Daphnia pulex: one gene and its partner. The protein of the gene in region 1 binds, or shares a complex with, the protein of each later gene. Links are inferred from orthologs where the notes say so. Each region holds a gene or a part of one and is shown in the gene's direction. Other genes may lie near its edges. The genes, in order: gamma-tubulin complex component 3-like and nucleoside diphosphate kinase 7-like.

The links.
Region 2: gamma-tubulin complex component 3-like (region 1) and nucleoside diphosphate kinase 7-like share a complex: the UniProt entries of both Homo sapiens proteins name them as parts of the gamma-tubulin ring complex. The link is inferred for Daphnia pulex from reciprocal best matches to the Homo sapiens genes TUBGCP3 and NME7.

The regions. Positions count from the first base shown.
Region 1 is NC_060018.1:811,202-815,476, forward strand, and holds the start of gamma-tubulin complex component 3-like, read left to right. Parts: upstream 1-1,291; 5' UTR 1,292-1,370; coding exon 1,371-1,446; intron 1,447-1,549; coding exon 1,550-1,923; intron 1,924-1,984; coding exon 1,985-2,087; intron 2,088-2,155; coding exon 2,156-2,274; intron 2,275-2,336; coding exon 2,337-2,493; intron 2,494-2,563; coding exon 2,564-3,124; intron 3,125-3,185; coding exon 3,186-3,360; intron 3,361-3,423; coding exon 3,424-3,764; intron 3,765-3,823; coding exon 3,824-4,044; intron 4,045-4,101; coding exon 4,102-4,206; intron 4,207-4,274; coding exon 4,275-4,275. Other genes in the region: tectonin beta-propeller repeat-containing protein-like, read left to right, coding at 1-45; motile sperm domain-containing protein 1-like, read right to left, coding at 238-269, 334-498, 562-912, 998-1,127. UniProt on the Homo sapiens protein: Component of the gamma-tubulin ring complex (gTuRC) which mediates microtubule nucleation.
Region 2 is NC_060026.1:2,936,992-2,941,259, forward strand, and holds nucleoside diphosphate kinase 7-like, read left to right. Parts: upstream 1-1,399; 5' UTR 1,400-1,649; coding exon 1,650-1,721; intron 1,722-1,810; coding exon 1,811-1,924; intron 1,925-1,983; coding exon 1,984-2,150; intron 2,151-2,221; coding exon 2,222-2,383; intron 2,384-2,446; coding exon 2,447-2,654; intron 2,655-2,720; coding exon 2,721-2,814; intron 2,815-2,894; coding exon 2,895-3,028; intron 3,029-3,088; coding exon 3,089-3,184; intron 3,185-3,254; coding exon 3,255-3,362; intron 3,363-3,422; exon of another isoform or gene 3,423-3,466; coding exon 3,467-3,505; 3' UTR 3,506-3,834; downstream 3,835-4,268. Other genes in the region: uncharacterized protein LOC124205225, read left to right, coding at 12-14, 79-142, 207-299, 365-978; 5'-nucleotidase-like, read right to left, coding at 3,835-3,944, 4,013-4,156, 4,220-4,268. UniProt on the Homo sapiens protein: Possesses an intrinsic kinase activity. Displays 3'-5' exonuclease activity with a preference for single-stranded DNA. Does not seem to have nucleoside diphosphate kinase activity.

The DNA.
Region 1 (4,275 bases):
GGTTGGAGTTTTGTCTGCAATCGGGGGCACGACATTCCATATTAATTTTCGCTAGTTTTAATTTTCATTTAAATTTTCAAAAGAGACCAGCCAATTTTAAAATTTACTTCATAAATTATCTGAATGGTTACTTTAAGCCGACTTCAAGGAATCTCATTGACGTTCATATCTCTCAAAGTTGGCGAACAGAAAGGTGCGCATTCATTGCGTACTTCGAACTTCTCACAGGAAGAAGGCTTACACCCGAAATATGACCATTGTAACCAGACCTTAATACATTAAAAATTCAAAATTAATTACTGACTCAATTTCTGAAATTTCCAATACACTTACCAAGAGAATAGGCAAATACCAGTTTCTGTTGTGAAGACAAGTGAAACATTGACCAAACAGAGGATGACGAGCCACCTTCAGCTTCATTTGAAGGCAACATTAGAGCTATAATACAAACAACTGCCACCACAATGGCAATATAATTTGGTCCAGCATTTTGATAACCTAGAAAATTATGTGCTTAGTAAAATCATTTGGAAAACAACAATTCAATAAATCTCCAACAACCTAATTTTCCAAGGCTATTTGAGGAAGCTTGAATTTGCATAGTTGAGGAGCTTGAGTCACTAGAAGAGGCTGACGGTACATCTGTGGAGAACTGTCTGAAGTTATCCAGACTAGTAGCAGTTGAGTCTGAGATTCCTGTCGATTTTCCTGGTAATAAAATAACTGGGATATCTTTCTTCCCTAACAACTGTCTGCTGTTGTGTTCATTCATTTGAATCCTGAACTTGTCCGTAACATGGTAGCAAGTTGGCAAAATAGAAATGTGTCGTATTACTATATCCATACAACAGTGAGGTTTTATAGAACCCTCAGGATCGCCAATCTGGTACTTGTGTGGAGCATTACACAGTACTATCAAAAGCATGCGAAAAAAGGTTAGGTTATCAGTGCAATTTTCAAGGACTAATACTAAAAGTGGTATCAGTTAACAACGCACCTTTGAAGTTTACAACAAAATCATATGGGTTGTAAACAGTGACCATTTGTTTATGTGAAGACGACTCATCAGCGAAGAAATTGAGCGAACTTGGGAAAACAAACACTGGTAACCGTTTCACCTCCGTCATTCTCACTTTATGTACAAATGACCCACTAAATATGATCTCAAATCTTTATTTTTGTTACGCAGTCTCTCGAGAAATACTCTCTTTTTTGTCCTTGTTGGACGATTCATAAACAAAGAACACGCCATCTAACGATGAGTTTAAAAACCACCAACGGAGTCCAAGAAAGCAGTAGACTCTTTTTTGAATTTTGTTTATAAAAAAAATACGACAACAGGTCAACAGTTTGTTTGACAAAATTCAATTATGGATGAAAATACAATTCCAGCTCTCGTCGAGAAACTCTGCAGATCTTTGAGCAGTGGAAAGTCTTCAGAAACTAGTATTCAAAGAGCAGTTTTTATTTAATGCTAGCTATTATCAAAATAGCTTGATTTTGTTGTGTGTTCAGTTCTGACAGTACTTTTTTTCTGGGTTACTCGTAGGTAAAGAATATGAAACAAAATACAAACTCGCGCTTCAGTTGCTGTCGTCCCAACATTTATCATCCCAAACCCATGAAACAGAGTTTTCCATTGTCCAAAGTATCAAGAAACTTCTGGGTACTAAGGAACGCTATCAAGATGCTAGGAAGTTTGATGAACTTTATGCCCGGCTAACTGCTAGTGTAAGTGACAACCATCAACATAAATTTTATTTAAATATTAATTGTTTACATCTTCTTCAGTCCATCCTTAAAAACAGAAAAGCTGTTTTGGAATTGATGTACTACTTGGCTCTGAATCCTCCTTCAGCAGCTAATGAACCTGTAGTTCGTCATTCTTTCACACTACCATCATTGGCATCATTTACTACTGATGTAGGACTGAGTTTAAAGAAAGAGATCTTGCACATTTAATCAAAATTTTCTTTGTTTTTAGACCACAACAATGGTCAAGACACCTAAGAATACAGAAATTCCTTATTCTCCTCTAATTTCTCTTTCATCAAGCAAGAAAAGTGCACCACAAACAACACTTTATGGTACATACTCTTAGCTTATAACACACATAGTTCAGAAATTAGCAATCTCACTTTTGTTCATTTTACAGGTCATTCAGATGTCTCCAACCAAGTGTTACTTAGAGAAATCCTGTATGCCTTCCAGGGAATACAAGGACAAGTGTTCCAGTGGGATGCAACCCATGAAAATCTTCACCTTAAATCAACTGTAACTATATACAAACAGCTGTTCTACACATTTATTTTTAATTTTTCCCATTTCCTATTAAGGTAAAATTACCAAAAGCTCTGAAGCAGATGGTACTCAGTTTGGTGGAGTTGGGCTGGCTATTCTACAAAGTTCAAAAGTATTGTGAATCCCCAAAAACGGAATCCACATGTGGGTTAGCCGCGAGGGCTTTCGCCGCCGCTTTACAAGAAGAATTGAGTCAGTAAATCTTGAATGGAGCCCTTTATTAAACTATTACAAAAACATTTGTGTTGACGTATTGTTTCAGGTGAGTACTACAGACTGCTAGCAGTTCTTCAATCGCAGATGGAAGTACACACTGCTAGAACAGGTGATAGCGTTGGAGTCGAGACGCAAGGCTTAACATTCCAGAGGCTGCTAGTATGGACGAAAGAACCTAAAGCCAGGATGAAACTTTTGGCCGCTTTGGTGGAAGCGTGCCATGGTCAACGAGGCGGAGCTTTGGCTTCAGTTATTCACTCTTTCGTTTTACAAGGCAACGCCACCTTGAAAACTGTCGTGTTGAAAATTCTCGTCCAAGTGTGTCGTCCGTTATACGAGATGTTGATGCTTTGGACGTTCGAGGGCGAACTCCGCGATCCTTATGGCGAATTCTTCATCGGCGTGAACCTGGCTGTCGATCCCGGCAGTTTATGGAATGACAAGTATTATGAACGATCAATCATGGTGCCTAATTTCTTCACTCAAGAGCAAGGCCATCAAGTGGCCACCACCGGAAAAAGTATTTGCTTCCTGCGCGAGATTTGCCTGGATAAAAGCCCCATACCGGGATTGAACCAGATTCGTCGTACAGCTGAAGAACGTAGCGGTATGAAATGATTTCCTGAGACATCTACTTCATTTTCATTGAAATATTTCCTTTCATTTAGAATCGTTGCTTTCCTTGGATTGGGAGTCCATAGAAGAAGCTTACAGTACTGCATCTCAGTACTTGCTGCAAGTCTTGCTGGACCGCTATCACATCAAACTCCACTTGTGCGCCCTTCGTCAGTATCTGTTACTTGGCCAGGGAGATTTTGTCAATCATCTGATGAAACTTGTCGAGTAAACTCCAATTTTATTTACTTTTTGTCAAAACACTAATCATGGAATTATTATTTTTTAAAGGCCCGAGCTGGACAAGCCTGCCAACACACGAATGAGCCGTTTGTTGGCGTCCATTCTCGACAAGTGCATTCGCTGCACCAACAGCCAGTACGACGATGCGGATGTTTTGAAACGACTTGATGTGCGCATCAGCGAACCGTCGCAAGGTGACAGCGGATGGGATGTCTTTAGTCTCGACTACAAAGTAGACGGACCGCTAGGAACTATTCTCACACCTGAAGTAAAAACTCGTTACGAGACTCTCTTTTACGCCCTTTGGCGTTCGAAGCGCATGGAATGGATCATGTCCAAATTGCGCCATCAACAGCTAACGGAAGGACGGCAGCTGAGGGGCTTATTAGGTTGGAATTCTGATTTGATTTATAAAAAGAAGTTTAACGACTAAAAAGTGTGATTGCAGAGGTTCAAGGAGTCTTGCATCAAGCCCAGTTGCTGCTCTCCGAAATGATTCATTTCGCCCAGGAAATGTCGCATTACCTGTCGTTCGAGGTGGTGGCTTGCGCCTGGGAGCAGCTCAGCGTCGCCTTACGCAATTCAAAAACCATGGATCAACTCTTGACGGCCCACGAACACTTTTTGCAGACGGTGACCAGCCGTGCGCTCCTCGACGAAGAATCAAAGGTAGAAATAGTTAGATTTTATTGGATTCCAATGAATCTATAATTCATTATGTTCCAGGATATACGGGATCATTTGAGGGGCATCCATGAAGCCATGTTGCAATTCAGCCAAATTCAAGAGCGACTTTTCTCAGCCGCCATACTCGAAGTTGAAAAACGACAGGTAAACCAAAATCAACAGGTTGCAGATTTGGGGTTCTAGTTCAACTGTTGAATGTCTTTTGCCTACAGG
Region 2 (4,268 bases), on another chromosome or scaffold:
TTTTCTCATAAATGGTATGTATTTCCTTTCCTGTAAAATCTTTAATGTCACACAGAAACTAAACCATTTTCATTTTAGATACAATCTAGCCGACAAGCAATGCAAAATGTTGATGGTTTTAAATGGAGAAATAACCTTAATGGTATTTTTACATATGTTTATTTTGTTTAACATCAAATAACGCTATTCTTAAATATGTATTGCAGTGGAAGCAAATGCTAGCAATGCATCAGTAAGGAAACGACCAAAAGTAGACAAACCACCTACTACGTCAAAGAGAAAAAAAGTTGACAGTACAGGTATTGATAATAGTTCTCTTTACATTTTATTTTGAAGAGCAATTGCTTTAATTTTAATCTTATAGCACCCTCCATGGAAGTTACCTCTACTATTCAAGAAACAATCGACATTCACCAGGCTGCTGAAGAAGGAATTGTTGATCCACTTCCTGATTCAATCAAAGAAAATCTTGCTGTTGTCATTGAAGATACGACAGTTGCATCGCCTTCTATGGAAGCTACCTCTACTATTCAAGAATCAATGGACATTCCCCAGGCTGCTGAAGAAGCTATTTTTGATCCACTTCCTGATGTAATGAACAAAAATGTTGCTGTTGTCATTGAAGATTCGACAGTTACATCACCTTCTATGGAAGCAAGCTCTACTAATTTCAAGTCTAATTTTGTGACATTTCAGTCACTAGTAACTTTATCAATGATACCAAAGAATTGGATATGGTCTTTTGATCAAATCAAACAAATGATTTATTGCATTTCGATGGATCAACTACCAAATGGAAATTATAATGTGAAAAGTGTACATTTTCAAAACAAACAAGAAGTAATGTATTATGTCAACAGAAAGAACATTCCATCAAGCACTACTGCTTTGTCAAACCATTTCACAACAGTTGAAAATATAACGCAATTGATAAAGGATTTCAACGATCGAAAAATTTGTTCATGCATTCCTCATTAAAGGTTCATAAATATTAACCTTTAATCTCGTCTTTCTGGTATATTGGACTCAGCTGGCGTGTTAAGATCGAAATATTGCAGAAAGAGAATAAAATTCAAAGTAACTAAGAATAAAACGTACCATGTATTTACACCACATTTTTTTTTTACACAACCAAACAATAAAATGTAAAAATGTGAGGACACTTAAAAAGATTGGACACTTTGAAGTTAGATAAAACTTAGAGGTTTGACAGTTGGATACTTCTCCTTTTTATTATTGTTTACTTCTTGTAGAAAAGTAAGCTGTGATTGGCCAATGAGTTTTTCATAGACCCTTCCTGATTGGCTGGCTTCACGTAGTAGCTGACACACTCACTAGAGGCGCTCATTCATTCTTCCAAATCGGCTTACGTTTACCCTGAAACCGGGATAGGGAAGCCAACACAGCCATGAACTGACCAGGTATCTATAGCTCTGCTATGGTTGCGTACTTGCTTTAACTACTTTCGAACACAAATGCGTTTTTTAAAATCCGGCAGCGTGGCCCTGTCAGACCCAGAAAACGTCTAAGCGGATTATTTGGACACGAGAAATTCGATAGAATTCGAATGATTCCTTAAACCAACCAGCAGTTTACGGTTTTATTTGTTTGACGTTTATTCGTGTTTTTAGATTCATTATTTGACCTTAATGTTTTACCCTTCTCGTACCAGTGTACTTGCTTTTGTCGCTCTCATTGCTGGCCTCTACCTCGCCCAACGTGTACGAACTTTTTTTATTACTTCTCTGTCACTTTGGCTGTGCTGTTGTGCTGCAAACTGATTGACATATTCATTTGATTTTCACTGTAGAACACAATGGAGGAAGAAAAATTCACCATCAGTGTAGAGTGGTATGATGACATATCTTCACTGGTGCGTCCATTTGTCTTGTTTTACTACCCCTCAGACAGGACAGTTGAAATGGTAAACACAATTGAAGTATACAAATAAAACTTTTAAATAATATTTCTTTTATTTAATAGTATGACAGCAAGCAAAAGAAAACATTTTTGAAGAGATCATTCTGTGAGACAGTGGCAGAAATCGATTTGTACATTGGGAACAAAATTTCAGTTTTTGGAAGAGAACTGAAGCTGATAGAATACCTCGACAATACAACCAAAACTGAATTGGCAAAGAAATCAGAAAGGTATGTAAAATGGTTATCTCAGTTCAGTGCAATTTTGTGATCAAGTGTAAATGAACTATAAATGTTTCCAGGACTTATGCCATGCTCAAACCTGAAGTCATTGAGCAGATGGGAAAGGTCCTATCCTTTATTGAAGGAAAGGGATTCAGATTCAACAAACTGATGCTGACCAAAATTGGTGCAAATAGAGCAGCGGAATTTTACAAGGAACACCAGGGTCGAGCATTTTATGAGTACGTGTGCAAATCACTTTTGTTAAATACGCTTTGATCATTTATCGTTTATTATCTACACAGAAAACTTGTAAATTACATTTCGTCCGGTCCTGTTCTCGCCATGGAACTGTTGGCCCCGTCAGCCATCAGGTATTGGCGAGTAAGTTTAGGACCAACCGATCCAGATGTGGCTCGCAGTGATGCACCCAACACACTTCGGGCCCTGTTTGGAAAAGATACTACATATAATGCTGCTCATGGATCGGATTCACCAGAAGCTGCTGCAAGGGTAAACTGTTGGTCAAAGAATCCATTGTGTGTTTCTTAATATTAAGGCATGTATTTCTCTTTCTAGGAGCTCAACTTAATATTCAATAATTTGAATAGCCATTACGAACCTTCCTACATCAAAACTTTGTGCCTTGTTAAGCCACACATTCTCCAAGAAGGTATACATTTTAAACTAGTGTTTTGCCATTCGCTATGGGAAACCAACGACTTTATCTACGTGTACCAATTATTTTTGCAGGGAAGTTGGGCGCACTCATCGCTGCCATTCAACAAAATAACTACAGAGTTTCTAGTCTGAAGCTTCACAGAATGAGTTTAACTGAAGCTGAGAAGTTCTTTGCTGCTTATAAAGGAGTTTGGGATGATTACCCGGTAATTCAATTGATCCTCTCTCCAATATTTTATCTTTAATCGAATTTATTTTCTTATCAGGCCCAAATCAAACATTTCACTTCAGGACCAGTCGTGGCATTGGCTGTAGATTCTGATGTCAATACATTCAGAGAATTTGTCGGTTCATTTGATCCGGTTAGTTTCATTTAAAAAATTTCTTAATTCTAAGTATTTTATTAACATCCGTTTTGTCTTTACTCTCTAGAATACTGCGCGGAAATTACATCCGTCGTCCTTGCGAGCCCGATTCGGACATGACATTACACATAATGCAATCCATTGTACCGACCTACCCGACGATGGTGTACGAGAGGTATGTAAATTTAACTTTTTTGTAATTGTGTAATTGTTATTGAATGTATAAATATTTTTATTTGATGATTTAAACAAATGTTTTTTTATTTCAAATTGATACAGGTTGAGTTCTTTTTCAAGGATGTTGGTGGGTTCCAGTAAAATAAAGGCAATATTGTGGACCATAATGCAATAACTGAACTCGTAAGCACCAAAACGGGAAAATTTCGGAATCGGGTAGAAGTAGGATAAACTAATGAAATTATGTGGGTGATGAACATCTAAGTGGGTATTGAACTCATCCTATAAAAAATTTGGGGGAAAAAATACAGCAATAATAATAACAAATATTAGTCTCTCTTTTTCCTGTAAAATCATTTAGGCTATTGGTGAGCATTGTGACTCAAAGCTTCAGTCAGGCAAAAAGAGTGCAGAAGATAGTGAAAGAAAAAACCCGCGACCGATTTGTTAGCCACACATTCTCACACAGCCTACCGAACCAACGATAAGAGGGATCCTCTTCTGTCTCGCAGTTTTGGCCATAAAAATTTGTAAGCGGCAAAAGCCATACCAGAGAAGAGCAGCGTCAAGAAGATAGTCACTGTTGGGTGAGATAGCAGTAATTAGTTAGGTTAATTAATAATAAGCAAAAATGGTTGTAGCACTCACAAAATACTGTTCCAGTGACGTTCGTATTCGGGCAAACCGTTGGGTTGTCAGTGTTTGAGATAAATTTCACTCTCCCTTCGTTTCCGTAAGTCAGTGGTGTTAATTTTTTTATGTACTCTCGGAGAAAAATTTCATCGCGAACGCCTGCCGAAATCAATTGAAAGTTTAGTTTATGATTACAAAAGATTACGAATGATGTCGACTGACCAGTGCTGTTTTTCAAAGCAAAATCTTCCATGGACGAAAATCTGCTGCC